Linked DNA regions of Neodiprion lecontei. The protein of the gene in region 1 interacts with the protein of each later gene in a biochemical or structural test. Links are inferred from orthologs where the notes say so. Each region holds a gene or a part of one and is shown in the gene's direction. Other genes may lie near its edges.

What was found.
Region 2: the proteins of DNA repair protein XRCC1 (region 1) and DNA polymerase beta form a complex in vitro, tested with the Homo sapiens proteins (5 studies listed by BioGRID, with this or other methods). The link is inferred for Neodiprion lecontei from reciprocal best matches to the Homo sapiens genes XRCC1 and POLB.
Region 3: the proteins of DNA repair protein XRCC1 (region 1) and uncharacterized protein F21D5.5 form a complex in vitro, tested with the Homo sapiens proteins (3 studies listed by BioGRID and IntAct, with this or other methods). The link is inferred for Neodiprion lecontei from reciprocal best matches to the Homo sapiens genes XRCC1 and PNKP.

What each region holds. Positions count from the first base shown.
Region 1 is NC_060261.1:13,219,272-13,229,488, reverse strand, and holds DNA repair protein XRCC1, read left to right. Parts: upstream 1-3,707; 5' UTR 3,708-4,093; coding exon 4,094-5,340; intron 5,341-5,421; coding exon 5,422-5,554; 3' UTR 5,555-5,633; downstream 5,634-10,217. Other genes in the region: kinesin-like protein KIF13A, read right to left, coding at 2,284-2,341. UniProt on the Homo sapiens protein: Scaffold protein involved in DNA single-strand break repair by mediating the assembly of DNA break repair protein complexes. Negatively regulates ADP-ribosyltransferase activity of PARP1 during base-excision repair in order to prevent excessive PARP1 activity.
Region 2 is NC_060264.1:26,378,416-26,389,692, forward strand, and holds DNA polymerase beta, read left to right. Parts: upstream 1-3,582; 5' UTR 3,583-4,471; coding exon 4,472-4,538; intron 4,539-4,614; exon of another isoform or gene 4,615-4,623; coding exon of another isoform or gene 4,624-4,639; coding exon 4,640-4,839; intron 4,840-4,968; coding exon 4,969-5,129; intron 5,130-5,258; coding exon 5,259-5,553; intron 5,554-5,638; coding exon 5,639-5,834; intron 5,835-5,911; coding exon 5,912-6,006; 3' UTR 6,007-6,624; downstream 6,625-11,277. Other genes in the region: zinc finger protein 62 homolog, read right to left, coding at 158-341, 525-879, 1,548-1,721, 2,212-2,343; heparan-alpha-glucosaminide N-acetyltransferase, read right to left, coding at 6,974-7,155, 7,242-7,425, 7,503-7,627, 7,725-8,001, 8,127-8,406, 8,497-8,604, 9,201-9,298, 9,373-9,494 and 4 more.
Region 3 is NC_060262.1:30,638,895-30,651,148, reverse strand, and holds uncharacterized protein F21D5.5, read left to right. Parts: upstream 1-5,393; 5' UTR 5,394-5,466; coding exon 5,467-5,674; intron 5,675-5,935; coding exon 5,936-6,432; intron 6,433-6,671; coding exon 6,672-6,917; intron 6,918-7,003; coding exon 7,004-7,075; intron 7,076-7,167; coding exon 7,168-7,446; intron 7,447-7,558; coding exon 7,559-7,840; intron 7,841-7,957; coding exon 7,958-8,019; intron 8,020-8,335; coding exon 8,336-8,570; 3' UTR 8,571-9,013; downstream 9,014-12,254. UniProt on the Homo sapiens protein: Plays a key role in the repair of DNA damage, functioning as part of both the non-homologous end-joining (NHEJ) and base excision repair (BER) pathways.

The sequences.
Region 1 (10,217 bases):
AGATAACAAAATATCACTCGATAAAACTGAAGATTATGCAGTCGATTATGTGATCTAATTTTCACGAATTTGACAAAAACCAACGTCAAATTTGGTCAATTAAGAAAATTTTTATTGTGACTCTGTATACAATGTGATTAAAAAGAATCGATTTTCTGCCCACCTTTTTTGAATTCTTAAACTGAGAAGATCAACCATTTTTCCCTTGCATATAAATTCAGACTGTATACTATAACTGTAATAAAAAGTAATCTTGCTGCACTTGAATCTGACGTTATCTGTTTTGAAACACCTTGTGATATATACAAATCGCGTTACAGGGTCAGAGTACAGAGCTTATATACTGTGTTGTTACGTAGATATGTGGGTATCCGTGTGTGTGTATGTATATATGGGGATACAAAAGCGGCTATACAGGCAGGGCAGGTAGTTTCGATTCATCAGGTTAGCGCAATTTATTTATTTTTACGTAAACAGTTTACCGCGCCGACATTGAATCACTCATTGTAAAGGCTGGAACAACGTGTCGTCGGTTGCTTGGTCGGTGGCCTTCGGAAGGCAGGTGAAGTGATAATCAGATGTCGCGGTGTATTTATTATACACCATCTATGCCGGACGGACGAGCCACGGGGCCTCAGACAGTCCGCGAATCGTTAAATTCGCATTTTTGACTATTTCATGTTTATTTTACACGCTGACAAGGAGTGTATAATGCTCTCGATAAAGCCTCTAGATGATTGATTCTGCTGAAACTTCTAGGGTCATTTCCTTGGTCTAAAATACGAAGCCTGTGATTTGAACTTTCGTCTAATAGGCCCTTCTTCACGTTAGTCACAATCGATTATATCAGCAGTTTACTTGTTATATGTTGTTGTCTTAAATATTAATTTTCATTGCGCTTTCATGAACCTTCAAAGCGATAGTATTCCACCACAAATCAAGTGCGAACTAATATATTATGTCAGAGTCGTAGTGAAGTAACTGTGAATTTTTAAAAACCTGATCCAAATTTTAAAAGAAGATTAGTACATCTTTTAGGCCAGAAAAACATCCTTAGAAGTTTCAGCAGAATCCATGACCTGGAGGTGTGATACTCTTCTCGTAAATTGAAGTTTGTGACATTGACCAAACGAAACACAACCGAAATTAGAATATTTAACATTAAGATTAGTTTGTAAGAGTTAAGGAATTGAAAACGATTCATTTCGGTTTATTCAGAACCAAATTTATGGTTTACCTAACATAACTGAGAATTCAAAAGTTTGATACAATTGCGATTTTCAATTATTTTCGCTTATTTGTTCACGTTGCACATGGCTCCGTTGTGCTGAACTCTTTCTATCATAAATTCGAATTGAAATGCTCGCAGACGTCTATTCTAAAGGCGGTTTTTTATCATTATTTTTGTAGTATGACCGTTGTCATTGTGCTCGAGGGCTGGAAGAGCACTCTGAAGTTGTCCGGACTGTTGAAGCATTTCGAACTGTTCAAAACACGAATCATTACGCTATTGTTTCGAGCAGTCCGATCGGCATGAAACAGACAAATCGACTAGAATTGCCTACTACCGAGAGCTATGTTCGTTGAAGATTACCAAAAAAAAAGGACAAAGCCAGGCGGGTGACAGAAAGTAGGCCTGACGTCCGTAGACTCATGGATGAATATAATAACTCATCGAAACGTTACGACGCGATTCGCGTGCGTAAAAAATACGCTTTCAACCAGCACCACGCGTCAGATCGGTGTTTTTTCTCTTCTGCCTGAAGTACAGAGGCCGATATAAAGATACAGGGGAAAGCGGTAGCGATTAGTGAATGTGGTTGTGGCTGTTTGCAGTTATTTGTAATCACAAGTGAACGAAGTTTGAAGCGCCGATATAGATAATGTTAGGTTCAAGTTGTGTGTGCGCAAAATAAATATTGTAGGTTGAAATTACGAGGCCTGGATTTCTCGCTCCACACAACAGATCGAACGGAAATGTTCAGTTCAGAACTCAGCTATGCTATGTGGAAAACAATAATTGTCAATCTCCTGGCGATGCCAGTTTCGTCGGTTTAGGATGCGAAATCAATGATATACTTCTCGGAAAGTATCTACGGCGCTGGCGGAGAACCGTCGCCGCCGCCGCCGCCGCGCGCTGCCCGATTGTACAGCGAACCAGTATTTGATTCAGCAGGTTAATGTGGATTTTAATGGATCTTTAACGTCGCGGATTACCGACGCTGCAATTGCAAAATCTGTGGACGAACGTCGCTGCAAATTCTGTTGTATCTTTTTACCAACCTCGGCGATTGAACGGGCGAACCCGAACGGCGACCTTTATTTTATCCGTAGAAGACATGTTTCAGCAGCACCGTTTTTTTTTTTTTTATTTTATAGGGCACGGAACACCGGGACGAACGGATTTGATTCTATTTACACTTGTTAAATGTTCACCGCACTCTCGACGATCCACTACATCATTATCAACCCATTTCGCGACTCTCTCTGCATCTTTACCATTCTTTCACTTAGACACCTCACCGTCCCTACGTCGACGACACATCTCGCCATATTGCTTCGCTTGCCACCCCCGGAGTTTCGGTTTTCGTCGGCCGCGGCTCTGCCTGTTCGACCCCCCACCCGCGAGGCTCGTGACCAATATACGTCGAGCAATACGAAATGAACGTTCTGTCAGTTCTGTTACAGGTTCTGTGGGATTGTAGATCAGATTGGATCATTCATGCTCCGAGAGTATATAAAAATGCTTCCTTTACCGACTGAGTCTTTTTCTTACACTATGATGGGTACATCTAAATATTTTAAGATTACATCCGTAGCCAGCGGTAGCTAACAATTATTTTGGCTATTCTACAGGCATCTTGCCGTAAAACAGTCAGACTTCTATTTTTTCGTAATATTTACACTAGGAGAAGTGAACTCTGGACGTGTAAAATTGAATAGCAATTCACTCCCTCATCCCCTTTGGTTTACTTTTTAATTAAGGAACTTTCCGGGATTCTTATCGAAGATTGTAATGCGTCGCGGAATTATTTTCAACTGATATTTTCGAGTTTTCCGATGAAGTTCTCGCAGATTTTAAAAGCGCTAAACAAGTTCCATAAATTCTGACTATTTCTCATTATACTTTGATGACTTTTACGCGATTCGAACATCAACAGAGTTTTGATAAACATTTTGTAAAAAGGCTCCAGATAATGGCATACGAAGTTTCACGAAGATTTCGGGACAATAGGTAATTTCTCAGGAGTTCAGTACCTTTTCTAACTTTTTCTAACTTTTTCTAACTTTCTTGAATTTTTGCAACAAAACTTTTGAAATGTTCTCAGCATCTGTCGGTGTAATTGTCAATTGATTCTCTAGGAATTTTGTATCGACATTCACTTTTAACTTCAATATCTTGATCGGAGCTCTAAAACATCTGGAAAGTGTTAGAATCATTTAAAAGTGCTGAAAACAAAATTTGAATCATTCGTCTCGTAAATTTCTTGGAAATTTTCACATATAGGTGTTCAATAATAGTGGCAAATGTTTTTTCACCAATTTTACTACAGAAAACATATACTACTCAACCTCTAATTGTAAAAGTGTATCGTGCTAATTTAATAGTATTCAGTATTTCAGAAATAATATGAAACAAAATAGTGTATATTACAACTCTATTGTTATGCATAATTCGCGCTAGAAAAAGCAAGTTAAATAGGCGGCAAGCAAAATTACTCACAGCATAAGAATGGAATGATCAATCAGATTAGGAGCAATTCCTTACCATGCTGCCTTACCCACTGTAAGTAACATAAGGTGCGTTTGATAATCCACTCCAGACCGCCGAAAAACTTATTAGCAGGAAACGAAAATATTTCGAGGTTAGGAACACAACTGACAGAAAGTATGATGAAAAGCAGATGAAGTTTGAAAACAGTAAAGTACAAGTATAGAAAAGAATTTGTTCGGTGTGATGAAGCAGTTTGAATTTTGTTGGTTTCAACGGGACGAATTAAAAATTAACAGTCAGTGAGTTAAACCAGACTGACTGACAATATTTGACAAATTTTATTAATCGAATATTTGGGTACTTAAGAAAAACCAAAAAATGATTGTGAAACTGGGCAAGCTGGTAAGCTGCAGTTCGGAACACCCGTCATTCCCGGCAAGGAATTTGTGCGAACATCGCTCGGGCAGCATCGGGTCTCTGACCTGGCTCTGCGAGGAGCCAGGAATCAAGGAGTCAGAAGCAATATTTGAGCTGGCAGAGCCGTCGCAGATAACAGGAGTCGACATAGGAAACTCACGGTGCTGCTCGGTGAAGATCGCCGGAGCAAGTAGCAATGCTCCAGAGGAGTGGGTGATAATTGTGAGCCATACCTTTATGTCTTTCAATGATGCAGACCACGGTCTGTTCAAGGACCAGGTACAGCTGTTTACAAAAAAGGAAATCAGTGCGGAGGTTCTCAATAGGGTTTTCAATAGGGTGAAGGTGACTTGCTCGCAGCCAGCAAACCCCAGAGTTCTCTTCGGTCTCTCGTTCCTGATTCTGCGCACAGACGATAAGTTGGACTCAGGAAACCTAGACACTTTTGGCAGGTTCAAAGTCAAGGAGGACAAAGGCGACAACAGTTTAGACAAATTCAAGGAAAAATACATTCAGCTGATGAAGCCTAAGCCTAATAGTTTCAAGGTGGAACTCGCCAAACAGATCGAGAGCAATCGCGTTGTCGCTGTCAATGAGAAAAGAGATGAAACTCCAAGCCGTAAAAGACTCTCTCTTAAATTAATAACTCCGGCGAATGCCGCAATTGATGAAAATAAATCAACTGAGACGGACAAAAAACATGAGATCAAAAAACGGAGACTGTCGGACAAAGATGAAAAACCGATGGAAAGTTCTTCTAAACAACACTCCATTGGCATTTTGCAAGAGACACGAACAACGATGTCAGAAAGCATAAATCGAGGCAGACTGAGGTGTTCATTGTGCTTGGGCAATGAGGAGAATGTCTTATGCAAGACTTGTAATTTACTAGTACCTGATAAAGACCAGGCAAATGGAGCTTCAAGGCAAAAACCAGCCAAACCTAAAAAGCCAGTTAAGAATTTTAGTGCCCTGTTCGAAAATGTGACCTTTTCTCTCAGTGGATATCAAAATCCGAAACGGGACGAAATAAGGCGAAAAGCACTCGCCATGGGAGCCAAGTACCTTGTTAATCCTAATGGGCGAAATCACAATTGTACGCACTTGGTTTGTGCTTTTAAGAATACACCAAAGTATAATCAGCTGAAGGGAAGTGTTAAAATCATTGATCAGCAGTGGGTGGAGGATTGCTACGATAAGAAAACGAGGTAGGTCAATAATTGGATGCTCCATAATGCAACTTAAACATTCTTCAGGGAATAAATAAAAGATATTGCTACTTTTCTCAGATTTCCGTGGAGGCGATACGCTCTTGACAAGGAAGAAAAAGACCTGCCAGAAAGCGAGGAAGAAGTGGACGCTGACACAGGATCTACAGACCCACTTAGCATATACGACCAGGATACAGACTCTGATTATTAAAAACTGAAGCTGACATAATGAAGAAAACATGTTTCATATGTTGTATCTACAAATATATATTGGTATATTTCTTTTGAAAGCAACATTCTTTTTTCACTCCCAATTCAAAAACTTGTTTGTAGAAAAAATTGAATCCTATTGTGTAAAGTTTTTCAAGTAGGAGCGTGAAAAAATGTTACTTCTTTAATACAAACAAAACATTGTAATGTACTTATAAGTGATGAACAATTACTCAATCCCAGTTACTCAAGTATTTCACCAGTTGAAAGACAGATAGTGACATTTTTTAATCAGAAAATTATTTTTACACTGTAAAATGATTCACCACGCCGTTGATTAAAGATATATTCTTCAGTCTAGGTCAAGACATTTGGAATTAAAAATTTCAGCAAAATTTTTCAAGCAATTGATGAAGTCTTCAGTACCTAATATGTTTTAAGACTTCTCAAATTTTAATCTGCTTCTAGTTCTAAATACTATGGATTCAAATCATCCTCCAGAAAAATCTTTCCGTTTCATTAACGATAAATGCGCCACAATGTATAAATTAAAACTGAAAAAAATTAAGAATTTAACGCTATTTTTCGAAACATCTGTGAAGGAAACTTTAATTTGAGAAACCCCGAATCAATTAAATTTAGGCAAAATTGATTTATTCGTAGGACTGTAACAGTTACGTGGTGGGGTAATCGCACAGAATTCGTTCGAATTTCACACAATGAAAAAAGCTTTGCGGTAACGCGTTGGCTGGGTAAAAAATGTTAAGGGAATACGATCTCTGAATGTATATTTTCAGAATTTCCCGCTTCGACTAACAGGCCAACAGATATATATATATATAATTGACAACGCCCCCCCTCCCTGATGAACTGGGAGACGCCACGTTCGAAGTGAATTCGAAACTTAGAATAAATACTTTCGAATTTGATATTGCAATAGTACATAGTTCTTCAAGTCATGAAAATTTATGATCCACATGATCTGAACACTCGATTTCCGAAGTAATCCCGTAAAACGCGACTACATTAAAAATGAAAAGAAATGCCAACGATAGAGATATGTCATAAAGTAAGAAAGCTTAAGAGTGGTCTAATTTATGTTACACAGAATCTAGCCTATCACACGTCTAATACGTTGAACATTTAAACCAAGCAAATCAATTGATCCAATAAAACTCACTTATTTCTTTATTTCGCTGAATGAAAGTAATTTTTTTGATGAAAATTTCTGAACTTTTACAAAAAAAATGGATGGAATGGGTTCAAATAAATTATTTCAATATCTTGAATCGTAGTTTTAATGTATCAAAACAAGATAAATGTTTTTTTAAGTATTAAATCTTCCACGTCGATAACATTATTTGTAATTTGGATCCACAAGAGGATGTAGTTGTGAACATCTAGTGCTTTGCTCTTGTTCAAACAATGATGAAGTGTTGTCCCAGTGTCAGTGAATTATCCATGTTACTCCTGAAAGTGAAAAACAGGGAATCAGTAGATATCTCAAAACTTCAATATAAAGATGAGAACTTTTCATCAACTTGTATTCTAGAAAATTAATAATCCATGAAAACTTGTATTGGATTATTTTTCTTTATTTAAATTCTGAATATTAAGTCATAATCAATGAAACTTAGATATGACAAGTCATCGTGGCATAGAATTGAACGACAAATAAAATACTTACAAATGTCATGGTGGAATGATTTATTTGGACCTTGCACGCATCTTCCTCCTCTTACGCTTTAGCCTGCGCATCCTCTTCTTACGCCACTGTTATAATCGAAGAGATGAATTAAAAACGTGAAATTGTTATAATTCAATGTCGAAGTCTTTTAGTTAAAAATCACTACTTCAATAGACGAACAAAAACAAATTAACTTTTGGTCTGTTTCAAACAATAAGTCATATTTACTTGAGAAAAATGAATTCGTTACGTCAATTTTCTGCCAAAAAAACGTAGAAATACAAATTTGAATTTTTTCAATATTCTTTTTATACAAAGTTTGTTGATGTAAATCACGCGGTACATAAGTATGGGTAATACAAATTTTACACGCGTGTGAATACTCAAGGTAGAGATTCTACGAAAAATGATTTTCACCACATTCTTTAACACGTGTTCAATTACTTTGCTTAATAATCCACGCGATGCAAATTTCGAATCACCAATTCATTACTGCTACACTTTTCAAAACACTTGTCTAAAAATGTACTGATTAATTCACCCAGCGCATAGTGTACTAAATAAATGTCGAGACTGGGTTTTGCCGACGCCACGTCGGTAAAAAGCGACGCGTGGATTTGAAAATACGCGTTAATATACGTAAATATTACAATTGACACAAATACGAAAAGCGTTATGGCCCTGAAAAATGTACATTGCACAATTGCACACTTTTCATCACCATTCGAAACATGCGGTAATGGAAAAGGTTCGACAGAACAAAAATAACGACCATTCGAGGTTAACGGAAATACGTAATAATTGGAATAATTAATCTTGAAAATTGGGTGAAACTATTAATATAATTATACTAAACGCACCTTTGCTCTCATCCTGAATGGATAGAGATTTCTAGATTCACTCTAGAAAGGTCCGATAACTTCGGATGCCTAAACGACGAGCTCTGTCCGCTATCAAATCCAATATGAAAGAGACCAGCCTTCGCTTCCCGGATCCGGAAATGTGTACGAATTGTGATGAAAGGTTTTAGTTCCGAACTCCGACTACAGAGGCGCGGAAAAATACCGCGCATTGATCTCGCTATCCCGTCGCCAACTATGGAACATAACTCCAATAAACAGGCATTTTTTCAAAGTATGTACTTCGCGGGTCAAGGCAAGGTATTTTAGAAATTGAACCGCGTTCGCGGCGTTTTGTTGACTGTCTTATCCATTGAAGTTTGAAGTAAAGAAAATTCGAACTTATTGTTAACGTATTGGATCGAATGTTTGACGAAGATGAAATTTCCGTCACGGTTCCGTTCGTGAGAATATATCGAAAAATAATCGGTTTCTTTAGTCATGACTCTTGATAAAACCGACTAGAATTATTATCTATATTACTCTCCTGTCATGGAACAAATGCCAAACTCATTCTTGGCGAAAACTATTTTTAGAAGCTCGGAGAAATATCAATGAATTCAATGAGAACGTAAATTTCTGACAGTTTCTGTTTTTTTGAATAATCTCTGATCAATTTTCATAATTTCTAGGAATTTTGCAGAAACATTTCATTTTTTACGCGGATAAATAATGTCGGCAAATTTACGGATACACCTTCATATTTATTAAAAATTACTAGAAAGTTATCACAATTTTAGTGTTATTGAAAGTATTTCTTTACGTTCAGATACATTCAGATTTTTTCATGTTTTGGAAAGGACATTCTCAATTATTTCTCAAAAATCTGTTTCAGTTTTCCGTAACGTGGTACTGTCGGAAAATACGCAAAAATACGAAAACTCAGATTATCTCAGTTTTCAGATATGGAATGAAGTTCAGAAAAATACCAGTTCTCTCAAGAAATTGGTGCAATTGTTACCTCTAACTCGATTCATTGATCATAAATGGGCAGAAAGAGGAAAACTCGTATTATGGATTTTTAGAATTTTTTAGAATTTTTTGATAATCCTCCGAATTTATCAAAAGAATTCAAAGTTTGCCAGAACTAATAGGGAATCTTTCTCAGAACTTTCCGGTAAAATAGTATATACCTAAAAGATTTCAGAGAAGTTTTTTGATCTTGTCGGAGCGATTTGTAACTATTTCAATTCAACTCACAAACTGAGTATTGAACTTCCCAACATCAGCAAATGTGTATATTTAATATAGTAACCATATACATAATAATTGCATCATTATATTGTAGATTTATACTTAAACTTTAACAGGGTAATAATTTTAACATGGTTACTTAGTTATCACCTTATTACAATTAAGTAATGAGAAATCGATTTAACATTATAATATAATATAATTTATTGTATTGACGAAGTTATTGCAGAAATGTGGATCACTATATCTAAATTTATTGTACATATTATAAGCGCATTTTCTAAAAATTGGGCGTATTCTTCAATATTATTCACTCCAAATATCTGACAAACAGTGTGTAATAACGACGCACCGCCCTTGGAATCTACTGATTATTGAAGAATTAAGATTATTGGAATAATTTGTTTTAATTTATGTACATGTCAGGGATCAACCCTGTTCTAGTTATTCACTAATACCCATGATGTTTTGATATTTCAGGATTTATTCTCATATGTTGAAACATTCAGAAAACAGGTGAATTTACTGAAAATCTCTTTGAAACCGTTAGAACATTCTCTTATTTCTGCAAATTTTCAAGGAGTAATGTTTTTACAACGACCATGAAAAAAAAAATGAAACAAGTAACAGCACTCCTTATTAGTTTGACTGTTCGATTGAAACAGTTAGCTAAGCCCGTTGCTTGTCTTGATTAAAAATTATCTGACCACAACCGACTTTCAAAATATGTTGATTATCAATATTTTACGTTAAATTTTCATTATACACACCGCTCGTTTAAACCGAATAGACAAGCTCAATATGTTAAAAATAATAGGCAACATAATATATTAGTTAATAAATAATTGATCTATCAATATGTCGGTACTAAACCAAATATACAA
Region 2 (11,277 bases), on another chromosome or scaffold:
AAAGTTTCCAATACATATCCCATCAGAATCCCATTCAGAAAAATAAACAACCTCATTACTTAGAAGAGTGAGTGTTTGCGCATGTTTGTGGATTTCACAACGAAACACCTTTGGCTCTCAATGGCAAGGGCAGTGAAGAAAAAATAGGAAAACTCACCCAGACTTGGGATCACCGTCGGTTGTCTGGGGCATAGCCATTTCTGGCATTTCCACGATTTTTTGCTGCTGCAAGCCGGACGGACCCGCTTCGTCGCAAGCCAGGGATACATTTACAAACGTCGTAGGTTCAATCGTTCTACTATTACTAGGATCTTCCTCGCTTTCTTCCTTGACAGGTAGACCTGTATTAAAATCAAAATGTTCAAATTAAACACAGACTCGAAATCAATAATTAAATCAGAACACCATACTTGTCAGTTGAATACAACGTACGTTATTAAGATTAGAAATAAGTTCAAAAAACATTGAGCTTATTCTAGGAATTTTGAAACTATTAGGCAAACTAAATGAATTTCTTCGTGTACCATCATCACCATCGCAATCATCGTCAGAGTTTTCTTCATCATCGCTAGTTTCCTCTTCCTCGTCCTGTTGATGCGTTGTTGCATTAGTTTGGGACTCGGCAATCTGTTCATGTCCAGGTTGACTACTTGGACCAGGTACAGCCTGTTGGATAGGTTGGATAGGTTGGATGGGTCCAGTGCTTGTATCCATTGGCACAGCAGTTAATTGCTGCTGTGTTGAGCTGGGAATAATTAGCGGCATGCCTAGTCCCATGTTGTCTATAACTCCTATACCAATGCCAGGTTGAACTCCAGTCACCTGTATTGCTGTGCCTCCCAATCCGCTGGAACTGTTTTCTTCTTGTTTCATTGTACTCTGCGAACAAAAGTCATAATCATACTGTTAAAACTATGTATTATGGATAACCAACAATGATTAACTAGGGTTAATTAGATTTGAATGTGAAACTAAATGCCTGCACAAGCTTTTGATTGAGTTTGTAAACAGATCGCAGATACTATACCTATTTGGGAAAGATTGTAATATTTCGATAAAATTTATTTTGTATTTAAAAGAACGTTCTCAGTAGCAGTGTCACGATCTCTCTACATACATGTTGATCTAACACCTCTTTTAATTTTTGCCACTCTAAAAGTTCATGTCTAATACAAGACCACTGATAAAATTTTCGAATTGCATAGTAAAAAGTTTGGTGCAAAATAAAACTACAAAAATTTAAATGAACATAAGCCATTCAAATGAACAACCCAGTACACTTGCCAATAAAAAAAGATAAACTTGATATTAATTGTACCCTAATGTTGGCAGAAGATGTATCTCAACAATTATACTGCATTAATAGTTTAATTAAGTGAGTATAAACATACGTGTCCAAAATATTGTGGTCACTGTTTACGATTGTCAAGGTAAACAAGAAAAAAATAGAAGAGTAAATATGAGATTGTCATGTGTTCGATTTCGTGTTTCAAACACAGTCAAACTGAAGCAACATTGTTGTGTTTAGGGCAGATGAGTTAAATTACCGGATTTAGGACACCAGTGACATAGCCTTGCTTGTCCTCCAAGCCAACTTCGCCAAGCCATTGGAGTAGCTGCTTCTCGGCGTTTGCCGTTGTATTCCAAAATTGGTAAAGTAATTCTACTTTGTAAACGCAATCGTCGCATATCTTTTTAGGTAACTTGTCTTCCCGTGCAACCTGTAATAAAATTCATTTGTAAAATGCAGTTCGCTCAGAATCGCGTCTGTATTCATCTATTTGTACATATCATAGTTGTTAGAACAGCATTCGCCAATTAAAGTAGAATTATATACATAATTCACAGGAATAGAGTCCGGGACGCCGTAGCGTCCCTTTGTTAGGAATGGCGTCGGACCGCCTGCCGTAACGACGCGGCACGAGCAATAAGGAGGGAGGGCGAAGAAGGGGGGGGGGGGGGGGGGGGGGGGTTTGCAGAGCAGAGAAAAAGAAGGATCGATTTTACAACCACAGAACAGCAACACCGAAGCGGCATTTCACGTGCGAGATAAGAAACTGTAATAGCGGGAACAGTGATCGAGAACCACGCTGTGTACTCGATACATACGGAATCGATAAATTCATTGTAAATGGTAGGAAACAATAACCGTGACAAAATGGCGACCGTATATTGGCTGGCATAGAGCGATGGCGTAGTTTGTAGGCTTACCTTGACCGGCAAGCAGGCCGCAATCTTTAAAAAAATCTGCCTGACATCACCCTCACCCTCGAATATCGGTACGGACACACGATCTTTCATTAGACACAATCTGCACAAATCCAAATAGTCGAGGGACGACATTGTTCCACGTAAAACGCCACTTCGAGACGCAAGCCGCGCCCGTAGACGCGTTCGTTCCTTGAACTTTCAACAGAGACCAAGCTCAGCGGTGGGAGGCAAGTAGTGCCGGGCTGCCGGATCCGTTGAGGAGTGTGGCGACACTGACGACATCCCCCCCCCCCCCCCCCCTCCGAAACCTTCCGGGAACCGGCTATCGATTGGCCTGCGATGCTTGCCGAGCTTTACCGAGGCGTCTCGACGCCAAAACGAGTGTCACGAACGTCGGGTTGTGGACGATAAACGGCGATAATCGCGCTGGTGACTGTTAGCGACGAACGTCACTAGTTTAATATCATTGTACTAAATCTGATACGTTTCTAAAGTATTTATTACATTTTTCAATTTCAGTACCCGAATACGAAAATGACTCAGAAACGTATGAAACCCTCATTTGGAAAAGTAAACTCCTGACTATCGCGCCACCTGGAGACTGGAGAATGTTGCGTTGTTGTTGAGAAAAAATAATGCGTCGAGTAACAAAGGCAAACAACCAATTCATTAAATGACAATTTTGTAGATTGAGTTGTGTTGGGTTGGACGATCTGTTAATCGACGAAATGTTTTCGACGAATTCCGCGCAAATCGTGTTCAAAATATTTAAGCAGTGGTGTAAGAGTACATAAAAACTATTGTTTTACTGTATAGTTTTATAAGTCAAAGCTGTGACTCATACGATACGCTATAAATCAAAACTGTGATGTTCGTATGAGATGAAAAAAAAAAGAAAAAAACAATAAAACGCTAACGTGTTTACGTATTTATTATGTACTCTATTTGAAGCGACCGCCAATTTAGTAAGAAAATGCCAAATCTGTTACGATGTGGCGCTGCCGTCTAGTACTAAATGATTGCTCACTGTGGCAACGGTGAAGGCGACTGCTGGCCACGGCGTCGCAGTTGAATTAATTCATGTATAATGTTTCGATTTGTCTCAACTCACTACTACAATAATGCTGCCACCGCGGTACTCTGATACCGAACAATTAATAATTTAAGACAACAGACATTCCGTCGGGACGATTCTGACGCGGTAATCAAAAAATTATGTCGCAGCCGATGTATTCGCTTATAGCGCTATACATTTCATCGATTGCATGTATTATTCTCACAAGAATATGTACTTGACGATATTGAGATTAGATTAACACGATCTCTGCGGTCTCAACCCATCAATACACCGATACGTTAAATAAGAATTATCACGCATTATAAGACATGAAAGCGCGATAATTCCACGTTTTGACACGCATCCCAGTCACAAATCCTTACACTATGTTCTCACAGTCAGCTGTATGCTACTGTACAACTCGTTTCCTCAAAATATAGCGTATAAACTCGTAGGACACTGTCGTAGCTTTGGTCGTAACAACTCCACGTTGGGGTTGACCTTGACAGGAGGCAGCAACTGAAAGATTAAGAGATACGTAGTAAATAGGAACTTTCTAATTAGTGAACTTTCAAAATAAAATAAATTTCGAATAAGCTGCAGTGGTTCTTCATAAAAATTGTAACTAAAGAGCAGTTTCACTTATGTGATAACAATTATTCGACTTCAAATGCTGTAATTCCAATAATAATTCTAGTTTCATGTCAAGTTGGATCCACTTTTTTCGATATTAAGTGTTTGAATGAATATTTTTTTAGCGCTGCTGTCCGTATCATCAGCAACCAACAGTGTCATACTGCCGTTTGTTACCGACAGTGGACATAAGTAGATATCGCCACAGGGCTTCTGTAATTCTGTTACGGATAGTGTATGTTGGTAAATGTTCCCAAAGGTCTTCCGTGGTGCCGACAACAAGTATTGCTTACAGTTCTACGGTTCGTGTACTATCATGGTATCCCTAGCCGCCCTCGCCGACAAATACTTTCGTGTATACAATTGTCATCTCACTTCTGTCGAAACCTACGTATTTTCATATTCCTGAAAAGGGCACAACGACAGGAAAAAAGCAGAAGATTACGAAATTGCAGCTTTTGGTAGCAATTGAAAAGTGTAGAGGTTATACTCCAATTTGACAGTTCGTTTATTGCTTTCACGGCGATTGGCGATTAATAATTTTGAGATCCCTGTCAAAATACAAGAAAGATGAGCAAACGAAAGGCACCCGACAACGCAGACAATCTAAACAGTGATCTCTCCGATTTTCTGATAGGTATACATCGCCTCAGTTTCATTGAACTTTGACGCGCACTTACTGGGTGAAAGTTTGATGATCATTTTATCCAAAGTGAAAATGTATGAAAAAATTTGCAGAGCTAGCAAATTACGAGCGGAATGTCAGTAAAAACATCTACAAATATAACGCTTACCGTAAAGCTGCTGGAACTTTGGCTGCACTATCATACCGAGTGAAGAATGGTGAAGAGGCAAAAAAGTTGCCAGGGGTTGGAGAGAAGATCGCAAAAAAAATTGATGAGTTCCTTCAAACCGGAAAATTACAAAAACTTGAAAAAGTAAGTTATCATCAGTCATAATCTATAGTAACATGTGTAGGTCAATATCGATATCCTTAAACTCTATAGAACAATGAAATTTCATAACGCAGCTGTATTAGGATTTAACCTTGTATTTGTCATTTTCAGATTAATGCTGATGGCATCAGTGCTCCTATAAACTTGATGACCAGGGTATCAGGAATTGGACCATCGAAGGCAAAGGAATTGGTAGATGCTGGTATAAAGACTTTGGAAGACCTGAGAAAAAACCAAGATAAATTAACACATCATCAGAAAATTGGTTTAAAGTATGATTTTTACTACATTTGGAATCTTCCCTACCATTTTCGTAATCTCGAAACAATTTTTAATCAAGCTATTTCAAATTTTTTCTTCCTCATGATGTATTTGCAATAATTTTTTCCAATTTTTGGCAGGTACTTTCAAGATTTTGAACAGAAAATTCCAAGGGAAGAGGTGCGGCGACTCGAGACCAGTCTCAAATCAGTGATTGCTAATTTAGACAAAGAGTATATACTTACAATCTGTGGTAGTTATAGACGTGGAAAGGATGAGAGCGGCGATATTGACGTCTTGATAACACATCCAAAATTCACATCCGAAAGTATGGATGCGAAAAATAAAGGCGGTATGCTAAAAAATATTGTTAAACATCTTGAAAAGGAGGGAATAATCACAGAGACTATCTCTATCGGCAACACAAAGTTTATGGTATGCAGCTATATTAACAAAGAATATCTTGATTTGCATCAACACAGACTTAAGCATTGTCAAAATTGGAATTGCTTTCAAACAGGGTGTTTGCCGAGATCCAGCAGAATCGAGTAAACCATTTCGCCGACTTGATATCAGAGTTACTCCCAGCGATCACTACTACTGTGCCGTATTATATTTTACCGGCAGTGATTTATTCAATAAAAATATGCGGGCACACGCACTTAAAAAGAAATTTACGTTGAACGAGTATACCTTGAAACATCTAACATTGGAAGGTACGGATCAACATGCAAAATCCGGCAATCAACTTTAAAGTTTAGATTAATCGACCCTTTTACAATTTCTATTAAAGGGTTACCAGGGAATGCTGAATTAATCACAAGTGAAGAGGATATCTTCAGTAAACTTGGACTTCCATACAAAAAACCGGAAGAGAGGAATTCATAATGCCAAAGATTCACAAAATGTGATAATTCCAGGCCATGAAAGTATGCGCATCATAACATAGTGCATACGTATATGTATATAACGTTCTTTATTAATTCGATATATCTGGGTAGAAATCATACAAGACCTCATTAGCGTTGAGATCTATATTGTTATGAAATTATTAAATACTAATATTTTCAGCCATATTCTGTATCACAAAACGAAATGCGTAAATAGAAACTATATCTTAATATAAACTGAATTGGTCCAATTCTTAGCCTATTCTCTTTATATCTCTGTTACTGAAAGGTCAATAGTAATTATCGGTATCATGAGATGCCACACCTCATTTTAACAGTTTGGTTGAAACAAAATATTTATAACAAAACTAAAAATGCACCGCAAGCATATGCATGCGTATGAATATGTAAATAGTGTTGGAGAATAACATAAAATTACATATGTTATATTTTACTCAAACTACAACACCAATAACAAGCATTTACCCAAATTAAATGGGATTTGTCCAAAGCGGTAAAATAATAATTACATCTAACATAAGTATCGTCGATTAAAACGCTAACCATGGGGCCGATTTTGCTGTGCTTTCCGTTCAGACTACATCGTGACCCGACGCTCGCCTAACAAAAAGTTCACTGTCAGTCCCTGAGACTGACGCCATGCTTAGCGTGTTATAATGCCAAAATCAGTCAAACCAGTTTGAATGAATCTGACGAACATGGTCGGTTATTAACTCAAACACTTTTCTGTCAAAAATTAATTCTTACTAATTGGAACGAGTCGCTAAAGTAAATTATACATGTGGGCTAGTACAAACAGTGGGTGTATATTGCCCAAAACGACAGGCTTAAAATTAGATTATCATTTTTTTCATTCCACTTAATTATTTGACCAATGGTTTGGAATTCTGAGCTGAAGAAATTCCAAAACTTTCTTCTCAACTGTGGAATAGATAGGGTTGTGTCTATACTGTGAGAATAATTTCTTTCTTGTGAAGCACATAAGCAATAATGGCCCAAAGCGCCGTGGTCCACAAGTTTAGTGATAATACATTAGCATGCGTCCTAACTCCATTAATCGTCAAGGTCCAAGGAAATACTCCCATCGTAAAGTAATGCCCCATATACAAGAATATAGCATTTGTACCTGAAAAATAGTGAATGAAATCAACACGTATTACTTTAATGCAAAACAATTCAGAATAAAGTATACCAGAAAAGTTGGTAACTTGCCTGCGTAAAAGAACGGAGCTCCACTCCACCAATGTTGAAGATCAATCAGAATGTAGAGAATTGTATTCATGGCAAATGCTATACTAGATGTTGCGAGCACATAAGACAACGACATCATCGATTTATTCACAGGAATAACACCATCTTCTTTACTGAAGTTACATAAAATACCAGCCAAAATACCCTGCATAAAATAATAAATAATTCATACAGGTTTTTTTCAGAGTTCAGTATATCTGTGATCAATAGCTGTAATCTTACCGTAACCACAGACCACAAAAGCCAACGAATCACACGGGACTTTGCTTGGTGGTACGTTAGCATGATTCTACCAGCTTGAACACCCATATAAACCAGTAACACAGCTGAAATGGTGCTCATAATTCCTAGATGAGAGATAAGAAGGAGCACATTATAAGCAGTCTGAACTTTGTAGGTATGTAACAACGATACATTCGTGAGTCAATAATTGGATGTGCGAACCTTCAGGGTCATAGGGTGGGTGTTTTCCATAAACTCCGGACTTTTTCATATATATATGGTTACCGAAAATAGTTCTGTCGATGTATCCAGCTGCTCCTGCAGTACAATTAGCATGTGCTCCATGTTCATGAAGTCCACCTGGTCCTAAGTATCCTTTTGGACAACCAGGAACTGGTAGAAGGAACGTCAGGAGCAAGTGTGTGGTTGCAATGGCAATAATAACCAACCACTGCGCCCAAGCATCCAAAATGTCTTGGAGAAATTTTAGTCGGTCATACTGCGAATAACAGAATCCTCCCTCATCAATGGTTTGTTAATATTAGCATAAACATCACAGCAGATCGACTAATGATTCATCATAGATATTAAACAATCAGTTCAAAAACCAGTTTTAGAGCCAACCTGAAAAGTTCGTTGCGCCTTGGTGAATATAGCTTCAAGCGTCGCGCAGATAAAGTACGATACTCCCAATAATTGTAAGATTCCTGGAAATCTGAGATCGTTGAGTTTCAGAATTACGCAATTCTCAGTTGTTCTGGTTAGTGAGTTGATAACCAGGCCAAGAAATATCAAAGTTACAGATCGACAAAAACAACGTAAAATAATCCTGCTTCGGGATATAGATATCCTAAGTTGGGTACGCAGTGAAATTATTATGGTGAATCCCATGATCCATGCAAAGCTAAAATCAATCACAAAATTGGAGATCATCAAAAAAAGTACTTCGACTGAAAGTAACAAGAATATTTGTAGAGGTTTGTTTCATGCTTACAATGGCAACACCAAGTCTGCCAGTGTTATTCCATTCCATGGGCTATGATTGAAAAACCAGTATTTACCCCCACCATTGTTGACGAATATCATCAATAAAATCGCAATTCTGGGAAAAAAATTCATCCTTGAATTACATGAGGAAAAACCGGTTTGACCTGAACCATTAGCTAAATTTGAGATTCTTGTACCTAACAGAGTGCTTCGTAATCATTTTATTTTTTATACTAGTCTTACTTGAAAACCAGTATTTACCCCCACTGTTGTTGAATATTATCAATAAAATCTTAATACTGGGAAAAAATTCCTTCGAAACAAATTACATTAGGAGAAACTGGTTGCCCTTACACATAAGCTTAGTTTAAAAAATTTGTTAAACATTTTTGGGACGTTGTAACACAGTGTTTTGTTTGTTCAAGATGTTTAAAGTGCTGAAAATAAATCGAAAAAAATCCCCCTATCGTGGGCCAATGTCTGCATAATCGAAATGAAAAATAAAATTTTTCAGAATTTTTTCTGATTTTTAAATAATGCTAATTTGTAGATTAGTTTGAATAATTATAAAAAATTAATAGTTGTAGGAAAATATTTAAATAAACTCAGGAATGCTTTTTTGAAAATGGAGAATGTTATAAAAAAAAAAGGAAACTCATCGGTTGAGTTGCCATTATTTATTGAATGCCCCATTATATAATTATACGTTACCCACGAAAGGTGTCCAAAAATTTCGCTCGAGTGCTAAATCTGGTCACCCTCTCTATAGGCCTAGGTGAAGATTCGTTTTCCTGCAGTCTTCCCAGATCCTGAAATATAAAATACCAAACATCAGTAATATCAAAGTATTATAAATCACTTTCTCTTGAAAATATCCACTCACACTCTGAACTTCGGGCACATCTCTCCTTAAAAATCTGGTCATTAGTCCGGAGCGAACGACAAATGTTCCGAGTGCCCATGTGGCCGAGAAGAAAAACATGAGCATAAATGCTGCCAAAATTGCTGCAAAAATATTTACGTACAGAACTTCCAAGTTCCAATATAGCTTTTTCAAAGTTAAAATACTTAATTCCTTACGCATATATGGATTTGGTGGTTGATATGTGGTATAAATTTCCGAGCAGCTACGATCCGTCAAGTTCATTTCATAGTGTCCATGCTCCTCGAATTTAAAAGTGGTACTGAAAAATCATATATTATTGCAGAATGCATAGCAATAATTTCTCTATTTTGAAGGTCTGCTATGGAAAATAACATTATGCATGTAAACATATGGAAATATTTGTCTAACATCTTAAATAAAATTGTATGGTATACTTTTCCTACACCTGGTCATTTACTGGTGCTTGTTGAATTACTGGTACAGTTACCCTGTATATTCTGAATAGATCTTCAATCTTTAACCAAATCTCTACACATTTTTTCAACTTTTGCCAGTCAATTATAAATCTCCTGAATCTTTGCTAATGTCCATAAGAAAATTGATTGGTATGTGTAATAGAAAGCTGCAGTAGTATGCTGCAAAATATACCCACTGGCAGTATTCCAACCCATCCTGCACATAGTAAACATGATACGGATGCTTTGTGTCTACTGAGAGTGTTGTGTTGCTGTTTCCAGGTAAGACACTGCGTAGTGTTCCATTACACTGAAAATCATGACAATAAGTAAAGAATACCAAATTTGATTTTCCTGTTAGATTACGTACCAAGAAGCACTCTGTCGATTGTCCGTAAAATTTTATGCTGCCGTTGTTGCTATTGATTAGACTCAGGCAAGCTATGTCTATCCCAAGAGTTTTGTCATCGCAAGAGAAATTACCATTTCTCCCAACTAGAAGCTCCATGGTTTTCGAATGGTAAGAGACAAAGGCTTCAAAGCTGATGTATCTTTTCGCTAGCTAGGTGTAAGAATATAAAAGAATTTGTTAGGCATACTTTCTATGACCTACAGTACCCAGGTGGATTTCCCGCAGATTATACCGGGTTACAAAAAATATATGCAAAGGTTATTGACAGACTGAAACTAAAAATGTCATGTTTCCAATCGAGAACTAATAATAGCGCAATAAAGTCGCGTCTTAAATTGGAAAAAAATAAAATGTGTCATCAAGCGTATCTTCGCAATGGTCCGCTACGTCAATTGTTGCTGCGTAACGTTAGAAATGTTTATAACCGATGAACTATTATAACCATAACTAATGTGTTTCAGTTTAATTGGCCCAGATTTGGTAAAAATCGGAAGTTTTTACTTGCAAATAGTAGTAACTTTCTCTAGCTAATCAGCTCCAGTACCGCCCCAAATTTTCGCTTCTCGGAAAAACAATGATACAAAATCAGAGAGCTCGTACCTGTCACCAGTCTCACGCGTAACTATACGCTATAACTGCGTAACTGTTCAGCTGTTCACCCGAACGTGCTGACCATAAGAGAGGGCCGACCAATGCAGGCACTTTTTGTGTCCCCAGGGTGTAGTAGCGCCCTCTAGCACTACGGTCCTATGTGGAAGTCTGGAAATAAGTCGACTTTTTTGGTGGCGGGGGTGTCCCGCTCACAGCAGCCGCTAGACGGGTAAAGCCAGAGACCATACAGCGTCAAGATAAGCTGGGGGCATACTTGTTGTATCAGTCCACTACTACGTGTTTCCCCCGCCAAGTCGCCTAATAGAGTGAGAGTCACTACTTCGTGGTGACAGTAAACGCTAGCATCTGTGTTGTCGCCGTTGTCTCCAAGCTCTCTCTGTTTGGCACGGCTTCAACTCGGTACAGAGCGCGTAGTCTTTAGCG
Region 3 (12,254 bases), on another chromosome or scaffold:
GTCCTGGAAGTCGAGTTTCACCAGGTAGCGTACCTGAAGTGCAGAAACTACGGAGCACTTGTCCTGGAAGTTGAGTTTCAACAGGTAGCGTACCTGGAGCGCAGAAACCACAGAAAATTACTTGTAAAATTCAAAAGTCAGCATATCAAGGACCTGGACAGCCAAAACTACGGAGCGCGAGTCCTGGAGGTCGAGATCTATCAGGTAGCGGACCTAGAGCGCAGAAACTACAGAGCGCTTGTCCTGGAAGTCGTGTTTCATCAGGTAGCGGACCTGGAGCGTAGAATCCAGGAGGTAGAGAACCCGGCACTCGAAATCCGCGGAGCGCGATTCTCATACGTCCATTCTACTGCGCGGTTGTTTCCAGACTGAGGAATTCGGCTAGCTAATTTTCGTCGTCGACGGTTACTATAGATCGATGACGTCAAGAGAAAAAAAATTTTGGGTGACGTCACTTTCTGAACATCCGAACATCCGCACATCCAAAATTTGGTTTCGACTATAATACTATGTATGATATGTGACGTCTGATGTATGATGTATGATTTGTAGTTACTATAATACAGAGATTAATAAAAATTCGTACAGTTACGTCATATTTAGGTTGAATCAAATTGATGATTTGCAAAAGATACATTACATTATTATCATTACTACTACTACTGCTATTACTATTACTATCACTAGTGTTGTTGTTGTTGGTGTTTTCGTCCTCGTTATTCTAATTATTATTATTATTATTGTTATCATTATCAACATTATCATTACTATTTTATGAAAGGAAGGAATATAAAAATTATATTTGAATAACATACCTATTTTTATTTAAATTATTAATTTTAAGTGTTGTCAGACATGATATTTTTCAGTTAATAGGGCTTGTAAAATGTAACATAATATGATGTTAGTTCCGTAGTGACTTTCAACCAACGCAGATGCACAAATTCAGTTCTCTTGAAGTTGCTTTCATCACAAAAATAGGTACTTTTTATTCTATGAGAAGACAGTATCTACGATAAAGTTATTTTCCAGTAGAAAAGTTGACGGGCCAGGCAGCAGAATTTTACTGCGTAGAAAATTACTACGAAATGAATATGTAAATCTTCCTTTATAAACTAGCTTGTACCTCCGATTTCAGCTGTGAGTTACTAGAACGAAATGTCTACTTAGCTTCCGTGTCAAAGAGATTCAGTGATTTTGCACTAAGTACATAAATAATAATAATAATAATAATGATAATAATTTAAACAAGGGCGGTATTATCCATGAATTCATTCATCAAACAGTTCACTATAAAGTTGAAGACAACATCGCACATAGCCTTAAAATGGACTATCACTCTTGATTTGGCGACTTCTATTGAAGATGAGTAGTATTTAAAACGAGGATGTTTTTCGGGACGGAGGTTCTTCGTATAGTCTTCAAATGCAGCGAACATAGTTTCAAATGCAGCCTCGCTCTGGTTACCCGCTGAGAATTCTGCGTTATTGAGCTCATGTGTGGATTTATGGCTTTCCTGGTCGATTCGCATAGGTATAAATAAGTTTTTGACGATAACTTCGGATAAGCAGATTACTGTTCTTTGCATGATTACAATTTCACGGTAGATTCCAGAAAACATTCTTTGTAGGATCAATTGAACGATGGCATAAATACTTGAAGTGGCTGATCTTATTGCGACATACGTTGGGATCCGGACAGTTTTTACAGCTGAAGAAGTTTTGTGGAAGACTCTTGTTACTGCTTCTTGCATTGCGTCAACTGCTCTCTTTATGCAAATGTACGTCCTGTTCTGGGCGCGATCAATGATAATGGTATCATTAGATTGTGAATTGGAAGCGTCATTCTTGAACATATCAAATAGGGTGCTGATTCCTTCGGACATCCCATCGTATGCGATCTCTCGTTGCGTTTGTATTTCATTAATATAATGTAAATATCTGGACTGCCTCGTAGAAGTAAGTTGATACACAAAGTAGTCTTGTACAGCGTTGTACTCGGATTTGACTTCTTTTTTCTTATTGAGAAGGAAAGAATATCGTGAAATTTCAACGAGAAGTCGACTCAATTTGTTACCAATCCTAGAAGATGGATAAATTTGCCCGAGGAGAGCTTTGATTCCAGCAAATCCCGTTGTAGCTTCATTCAAAATTGCTTTATTGGCGTGATTTCGTTGTTGTTCGATCTTAATTCCAATTTGGCTATTGCTCGGCGAGTCGCAAACCAATGGCTCGAAAGTAGAATTGACGAAACGGGAACTGTAAGATTTTGCATCCTCCAGGATGGCAGTCAAGTTATCTAGGACGTTGGTACAGTTTTGACAGCAGTATAATTGTATTGCGTTATTCACCGCCGCAAGTAAATTCTTCGCTGCGTCACGTACTTCCGGCCGAGCTACTTCGACGTTGGCGGAAGCATCAGGTTTGCTCTCTACAATTGAGTTAAGAGGAATTTGTGCTGTGCTTAAGACAGCATTGGACAATTTCATATTCATAGCTTGAGCCGTGCTAGAATTATTGCACTGCAGATGAACCTCCTTTCCAGTTCGGACTGCGGCGTTAATTTGTTCCTGTATTTCGGCAATCATATTAAACACTTGATTGAATTCAGTGGAATATTCAAAGTAAGTTTTGTCCTGATTCTCTTGAATTTCTAATAATATATCCGTCTGTTCGGATAGACCGAATACATTATACAACGCAAGAATTCGCAAATTGTTGGTCATGTATTGAAATAGGCTCACAACATCCAAGTATGCACGAGTAGTAGATAATTGGATCTCAGATAAGACGACATCAGATCCATTCTGAGAACCTCTGCAATGAAAGGCCTCAAGTCCATTGAATATGTCATTTATTGCAAACTGGTATTGTTTGGTCGCATTCGCTTTGGAAGCGTCAAACGCACGTTGAATTTTCTCGGGAAACTTTTGGCCGTTCTTGATTACCATCGCGTAGCTTTGTTCCACCGAAGTTTTGGCAGCAGCAAGTGAATCGTTTCTCCTGTGTACGATCGTAGGTTGCGATGCGGTACAATTTGCGGTTTGGTTCAATCTAAGTACTGCAAATATGTTTTTAACTATTTGCTCCGATAAGTTGGTAAAACCTGAAGATTGGCAGGTCATAGAAGAAGTCGATGAAGATTCTCCGAAAAGTGATGAAATTATATTGAGATACAGTAAATCCGCTTTCTGGAAATCGGCAATTGTTTTATCTTCAGCAATATCAATCGTGGAGGATTTACAATCAGATGAACTTTTCTCATTGCAAGAAGTTTTGGTTATCTCCGATTCCATTGCATCAAAAATATTATCAATACCTGATCTAAGGCTGACAGACAGCATTTTTTGGACTGAATCAAGGTCAAAGAAGTTTTGCAACAACTCATTTTTGCTCGATGAATCACTGCTAGTAATCATTTGAAGTACACCGTACATATATTTTGTCTGCGACCTAAGTGGGAGCATTGATTTCTGTCGTGTTTCTTCCAACTTGCAGTAACAGTCCTCTCTTCGATCGCCATCGTCGGAACTAAAACCCGTAAGAATTTCAATTCCATCGTAAACAAAACCAAATACTTTAATGCATTCGGCAGCTGCTTTAGTTATGGCGTTCTCAATAACAGCTTCCATTCCAGGTTGGACTGCGTTCCTTTGTATTGGCAGGAAAGTTGCTCTAATCGCTGTGATGCATGCGGAACGGGTGGCGTTGCGTCTTTCGGCGATTTTAGCCTCCACTACAAAATCCCTACGATTACCTTGTAGATTTGATACTTCCATGATTGAATCAGTCACATTATTAATAAAGTTAGTTGTTTCAGACCGTACAATGCTTCGAGCCATACTATCCAGTGAAGAAGCTTGCGTTTTTGGCCTTGTAGCTATGTATGTGTTTATAACATTATCCAACCCCATCGTTAATGCACCGCTTGCTTTGTCTCGGGTCATCATGATATTGTAGAAATCATGTTGACAAACGTTGTCCGCTTCATCGGATAATTTTGTACCGATATCCCTCATAAGGGTAAAACAAAAATTGATACCTCTTTCCAACTCTAGTAGCGAATACTCTTCGCTTAATTGAATCACACGCGACGAATCACTCACGGATCCATACTGAGTTACAGACGTAGTAGTTGATTTCGTTCCAAAACAGCAAGATACTACCATTGAAAGCACCACAAACATAATACGTTGGTTTTCCATTTTGTTGGAATGTGGCTCTATTCATTTCTAATCGCTTTATATACTACTTTGTATTGTTGACAATATATTTAAATTTATGTCGATACAGGTGACGCTAAGTCAGTCGGATAATTATTTGATAAGCTAGACTAAATTTTAACATTTGAACGTGCTAAGCTGTAACTACTGTTTACGTTTGTATTAAAATTTAAAAGTAGTTCAATGAGTTTCTGTGGCATAAGGAATATAACCCAGTTTGATCTACATTAGATACATATTTGCGTATTGCAAATGTATTACCATAAGAAATTAAAAATTTCATACATGTATGTATTCACCCTGCGTGGAAGTAAAGGCTCGCACAGGCGCTTTTCACGAATACTCAATATTAAAATAAAATACCGAAAGAAACGAAATAATGAAATAAATAGAAAAGTAATTATTGACAATAAAAAATAATAACGCAAGAATTGTTGGGCGCCAGGCACTAACTGTAAGTGCCATGACACTAGAAACGGACAAAAACAAAATCTTAATAAATAAAAGGAAATTGAATAAACCTCAACCAAACGATATGCTCGGCCGTCATGTCAGTGAGTGATGAAGAGGAACGTGGGGGCGGAGAGTAAAAGGGTTACACACGCAAAACGAAATGGTTAATAGAAAAAATAGAAATTCCTTTTTGGGACAGGAATGGCAATCCTCGACTATACTACCTTGCACAAGCGGTCCCGAAATGGTTGAAATTACAGGATGCGATATCTACCACTTCGTCCGCGTCGCGGCGGGATCAGTGCTAATAATCGGCAAAAACCAAAACGTAAGATTAAAAATAATTTGAAAGAACCTTCTAGTAAAATATTTCGCGAGAGGATTGTGCCACGTAAGGTAAGTGTACCAGTTATGATCCTGTCCAAAATATTGACCTGTTTTGGTTGTATCTGTTTGATCCTTAGTTCTAAAATTGGCAAAAATTGGTTTTAGCCGTCGAAAAATTCACAATTTGCGCCGTCATTTTATAATTTTATAGAATAAAAGGATCAGTAATTGGGTCTACACGTGTATGTCAATAACTGGTACACTTGCCTTACTCTGCGTCGTAGGCAACCGGCGATACCGCCGCGTTTATCCAGCTGCCTCCAATCACCACAATCGTGCTCCTACGATCTGCGAAGAATCAGGCGGAAAATCACAAACTCCGGCACGGTGCGTCGCGCGTCGTTGCTGTTGGCTGCTGTTGGCAGCGTTCGATCAGCTACAGCCGCGTCTGACTCGCAAGGTAAATGGATTCCGGCGCGTGTTTCTCGGCTACAACGAAAATCTCCGCGGTTCTCTGTTGTTTAATTAAGATGAGCGTGCCTCCGCAAAGTTGTTACATTTTCAGCGACGACAAATCGCTGCCGCCGATCTATCTTGCTGACGAAACGCCAACTTTCGTCGGGAGAAGCGTCGCCACCCAAATAACTGACGTTAAGTGCTCCAAGCAGCAAGGTTAGTTTTCCTTCGACCATAACCTAGCTTAACATGACCGTAACATCAATCTAAACACATTCTCGCCTCGAATTCGGACCCTGTAGGCCCGTCTCACTCACCAGAATGTTTGATTCAACAAGAAAAACGTCAAATAGAATGGCGAATTATGAACAAATCGTACTTTTTTCATAATCATTGTTTCAAGTTGCTTTATTATTCATTTTTACATTAGGTGAATATATCTGGTGAATTATTATTTTTTTCATGTGAATTCACCAGTATGGCTTTATGCAAGCTATGCGGATTACAAAGTATTTGTCAAACAAGTCGGCTCTCACTCGTCCGGCTTTAACGGCTTCAAAACGCAGAAGAATGTGAAATTTATCGCCAAACACGGAGACTGTTTGGAAATGCTTTACAATAAGTACAAATACCGTATAGAATTCAATCCGCCGCCGGACGAGAAGGCCGAGAGCGGCAGTCTCAAGAAGAGAATTTACGTATCTAGTTCCGATGGTGAAGAGGATGGGGTGAATCTGAGTAAATCAGCAAAAGCTAAGAAATTCAAAATCCTAGATGAGAATATCGACCCAGATATGCAAACTCCTGAAGATCATGTAGAAGATAACGTGCCAGCTAACGGCAGCGGAGAATGCAACCAAACGGAGGATTTGGAATGTCAGGAAAATTCAAAGCCGACAGAGCAAGAACTTTGGGAAGACATTGATAAGGCTTTACTAATATATACAAGCAAGGGTGTCGTAGCACGATCCAAAGTTAGTACGTGATTAAATGAATTTCATAGCCGTAGTTGTGCTATACAAATTGAATCATTAGGTACTTTAGAGTTCGAAGAAAATGAAGCATAGTTTTGGTCTTGAAAATTCGTTAACGTCGCACTTTAAAAGTCAGGGAACTTCCATACAAATAAATATTCATCATTCAATTTAAACAGTAAAAACTTTGTGTTAAACTATAAAAAAAGAAATCTCGAATGTATTTTATGTTTTCAAAGATAGCAGCCTATGATATGGATGGTACCTTGATAAAGACGCAGTCAGGGCATGTTTTTCCCAAAGATCATAACGATTGGCAATTAATTTTCTCTGAGGTGCCCGGAAAATTGAAGAAATTACACAAGGAAGGGTATAAAATAGTAATATTTACAAATCAAGGATCACTTAGTCTCGGAAAGTGGAAACCCAGTGATTTCAAAGTAAAAATTGAAAGGATTGTCCAAAAAATTGGAGTTCCGATACAGGTGCAGTTATGATTTTTATGACCTACGTAACGAAGGAAATTGTAATCCTGTAACCAAAAATAATCGCAAATATTTCGGTAAAAAAGGTGTTCATAGCTACTGGAAAAAGTATATACAGAAAACCGTTGACCGGGATGTGGGATTCGCTGGTTAACCATGTATGTGTGCAAGATTAAATTCAATTTACACTATGATTGATGTATTCGAAAGCTTCTCAGGGGAATAATATTAATGCAATATAAATTTTTAGAAAAACGAAGGAGTAACTGTGGATAAAGATTCCTCTTTTTTTGTCGGCGATGCAGCTGGAAGAAAGAAAGATTGGGGGCCAAAAAAAAAGAAAGATCATTCGAGTGCCGATCGATTATTAGCTTTGAATTTGGGTTTAAAATTTCAAACACCAGAGGAACATTTTTTGGGACATAAGCCAGCGCCGTGGGAACTACCTAAATTTGATCCAATGAAATTGACCGAAAATACAGATGTAACAGACCCTCCTACGGCTAAGCTTAAATCAGACAAGCAGGAGGTATCGCGTCGTTTCAACTTTTCATTTCAGCTATCAGATGTTAATGTATTTGTAATTTTCAACAAAAGTAATTGATTTTTGGCCATGTGACAAAAAATTAACTTCTTAATAGGTGATAATTATGGTCGGCAGCCCTGGTTCAGGTAAATCACACTTTGCTAAAGTACACTTGCCTACTTACCGTCGGATAAACCGAGACACCTTGGGCAGTTGGCAAAAGTGTATTTCAGCATTGGAACAAGCACTATCCGAGGGCAAAAGTGCTGTTGTGGATAACACTAACCCAGATCCAACTGTCAGACAGAAATATATCGATGTTGCCAAGGCACGGGGGATTCCGGTGAGATGTTTCTTAATGGGGACGGAACTCGAGCATACAAAACATAACAACAAGGTACCGATTATTAAATCCTTAATAGTACAAGTTATACAAAGAAATTTAGAATCGATTCACGAGAAGGCGTTGTGGAACAACTTTAAGTAAGTTATAAATCATTTGCTTTTATTATAGTTTCGGCAGCTCACAGACAGCTTACATGACACGATAAGCGACGCAATAATCCACGCGTACATGTGAGTAGACAGTCATATTCATTACATTCTGTTGACAGAAATAACTGAAGATATAATTCAGGTGACGGTAAATGTAGTGTTATGATATAAAGTCGATTAATTGAATGACTAAATTCTATTACAAAAATTCGGTAAAGTTTTTTTTTTTTTTTTTTTTTCTTTCTTGGTAATTGATGCAGTATGAAGTATTTCACTAAGGGTGGCAGCCTGCTTTTGTAGTCTTAACACAGGTGGTTGGGCGAAAATGTGACAACGCCGTTACTATAGCTAGTCTAGGTATATTTGAGATCTGATGTTGTTTCCTTTGTATTGTTAGTGACACAAAGTCGCAAGTAATATGGCGCTGTATCAGATTTGTGAAGCTACTGCTACTGTTGATCTTACGATTCTGCACGAACTTCGACCTCATGAATGATGAACATTACAGAAAGAATTTTAAGCCGCCAACGATGGACGAAGGCTTTACCGAAATCGTCAAGATCAACTTTGTGCCAAAGTTTAAAAACGAAAAAGACAAGAAGCTTTACCAAATGTACCTGCTGGAAAAGTGATTCCTCAAGAATTTTATACTCCTATAATTAACACTTAAGCCTTTTCCAGTAATGTGATTAGATTTTATGTATACGACGATTATTTATATAGTTAATATTATTATTATTCAAGAGTTGAACAAAATTTTGCCATTCTGATTTTCCAAGCAATGGCTATGCGAAATTATTGACGATTCCAGTGTATAGTTTTTTTCAAAAACTGTTTTATAGTATTACTCGAGTAAATAGTTTTTCCTCATTTAATGTAAATTTCCTTTTTTTCTGAAGTGGTTTACAGGGTCGATGATCAATAAGTTTTTTCGAAGTAATTGCTTTCGACGTAGAGATTAAATTTATTGATTTTATTGTGAAGACGGGAACGAAAGTGTTATTGTACAATGATTTTAGTTACCGATTGTTAATCATGATGTAACATCGTGCTGAATAAAAAAAAAATTTCGTACATTAAATCTTCCATATTCATAGTTACTCGTAGTGTGTATAGTTACTTGTAGTTCACCCAATCCTTCTTAGGTATAACATGAAATACCGTAGCGGAATACCGTTTATATTTATATTGTGAAAAACGTCGTTTGCAACCTGAATCGATTAATTAATGTGATTCTCGAATTTTTGATGAATCGTTATAAAATGTGATTTCGCGATTAATTTCGGTTGAGAAATGATGCATCATAGCTATCTTGAAAGATAATAAAATTGAGATGATAATTGAAAAAATAAAAATTGTCGTATTCCGATCGACGATTATAGGGTAAAATATACGAGAGTTAAGCTTGTATACTTTCAATCAAACGCAGAGCCATACACAGTGATATTTAAAGTATTGAAAAAAGAAATTCTCCAAGGTCTCGAAATATCAGAGTTAAGTTAAGACCCTCGGGGTACTTCTGACGTTGAATTCATGTCGTATTCATGCTAATCAGGGTTAAGTCTGTAGCACGATAATGGAAAGAAACATTATAAAAATACTGGGCGGCAGGGTTGGTTCAGTCTTGATATAAGCAGGCGATGCTTCGGCGGCGAATAACTGGAAAAACGCTGGAAATACAGGAATTACGTTGAGCCTGGTAATTATTTTTCGTGCCCTTGGGTATAGGGAAATAGACAGGAGTTTTTCCTTCCCATTCTCCCTTCTTCTCGACCGCCGGCAAGCCCCGAGCGCGGATAACGACGTAGCAAAGAATTATAAAAAGAGAAGGGCCGAAGGGGGATGAGGCGAGATGGGGATGATATTAATGCATCAGGATTTAACCTCCACCCTCGGCCGAAGCATGAATGTTTATTAGTGCCAACATTTTTGCCCGGGGCTCCTTTTTCCCCCGTGATATGCTAACGGCGCTCGATCTGCGAATCTAATCGTCTTCCAGTAATATTCCCTGCCAATTTTCCAAGCACGTTTTTTTACAATTAGTTATTCTTTGTAATTACCTATCCTCCAAGTTCAGAGCGAGACTCTCAATAGCTTTGGTATTTTCATTTGTAAAATTGATAGTTAATTTTCACGGACTTATTTGCTCTCGTGTCTCTCCGCTTGAAAGTTCCACAAAAGACGGCATTGTAACCCCGAAACTTAAAGTTATCCATCACATAAATGTTACATTTCACGTATATCCAATCATTTGGTTATCCCACGCCGATAAAGCAGTCAAGCAATGCTTTTTTTCGACGTAATTTACAAATATTGACAATTTAAACTAAAAACTTATTAAATTCATCAAAATGAATTGTAACTTATATTACTCAAGGATAGTTTAGCTTTTTATTAGTGAAAATTATTGAAATCGATTTAGTAGTTCCAGAGATTACCCCCTACGTATAAACCAATAAATTTGACCTCTTTGTAATTTTAGTACAGATTCAATTGTGTTACACTTCATTAGTTTTGAGAAATTCTATTACGCGGGACCTTCAGCATCAATTCTGCTCTGATTCATTCTCTCATTATTTGGAATTCAAGATTTTATCAAAGGTATATTCATACATATATATATATACATTAGGCGCATTATTGCGACAGTTTGTTCAAGCTCTTGATGGAAGATAAATTTCGATATTCACGCTAATTGTTTTGACAATTCGTGCTGCAGTTGTTTGAATATCCGGCAATCCCATTCAAAGTTGACTCAATACGTATAGGTATAATGCAGTGCGTTATTTATCGCCAGATTTTGCAACAGTATTTGTTTATCATAATTATAACAACCGCTGTGTCTGTGTCTCCTTCGACCCGAATATACCGTACAGTGTTTACAAACAAATGCAGTAACAAATTAAAGCAGTAGCAAGAAACGATTGTAAAATGCATATTGTAGCCTTCTTTCACAGGAGTGAAAGGCATGAATTAGAGGATGGGAAGGATCGCCCCCGTGTCCTCGCATCCCTTGTCTTGCTTGTCAGCCCCGTCGTTCCTTCCTGGGTGTCTAAAGGTCGGGCATATAATGTACGTAAGGATGGCAAATGAGGATGTTAGGCAAATAATGCAAGGCAAACCCGTCCTGAGATATAGTCCGGCATTTGTCCATATTAAGGCAGTGTCAGCTCGCACTCGGTTGTAGGGATGGACGAAAAGAGGGGCGGGTGGGTGGCAGAGGGTCGGAGGGAGGGCGGGGGGGGGGGGGGATGAAAATTATATTGCCACCACGTCACCTGGTATTAGTCAACCTCGCATACCAACGATAACTATGTGTGTTTTGAGCACCCGTTATATCGCTACGTGTCACATTTCTCTGTTGGAAGATAAACGTAAACTCCGTGTGTTGTAATTTCGTTTATGCAATGGACATTGTGCCACAGGGTACTCAGAAAAGGGCTCGCCATCTCGTACCGGAATCCCGTCAAAATTCACCAATTTGTAATAGTCGGTACATATACAATCCTTAGTTCAATGTACAACTTGCGTATAAATATTCGACATTTTTAAAGAAGCGACGCCGTATGAACAATGCATTTTTTGTAGCATCATTAAAATCACAGTTAAATTCTTTCCGCAATTATTTTAATCCATAAATTGCACATGACAAAATACGATTTATGAGCTTGCTCAAAAAATTTTTCGATCATCGATCATTCTTTCATTGCTTGTGTCAAGTATGTTTTGTTACTATAAAATATAGAAACGTTTACCGTCAAAGAAACACCAAGTTTTAACGCATGATCAAACAAGTAATGCTATTTTTCATTCAACAAATTTTCCGACATTTATATTTTTACGGACACCTTGACGGGATCAAATTGAAATAACACCGTATTTGAAATTTCGAAAAATTTTCTAGAACAGCGCGTTCAGATGAGACGAATTTCAGCGCGACAGGTGAAACGAATGTGGATGGCAAACGAAGTAGCCAGTCGGGCAAATAAATCAAGAGGTAATCACGTAATATCCTAATGCTCTGTTAAGTTGACCGAAGGCGGTCCTGATGCGACATCCGATAAAATATAGTACCCTGGTTTTCGTTTTAATTTACCATATCGTCGACACGTGCGTGCTTGCCAAAATGTTTTTTTGATAAGATTAGCTGGGCCAGATTGGCGATAAATGCTCTTCAAATTTTGTACATTCGGTACAGCCCAATTTACTTTATGGTCGATCTTATCCGAAAACAAAAACTTGCCAACCGCGCTAAGTGTTATTCCCCCCGTTCCCCCTTGCCTTCAAACCAACCGACCTGTGGCGGGTGATTTCAA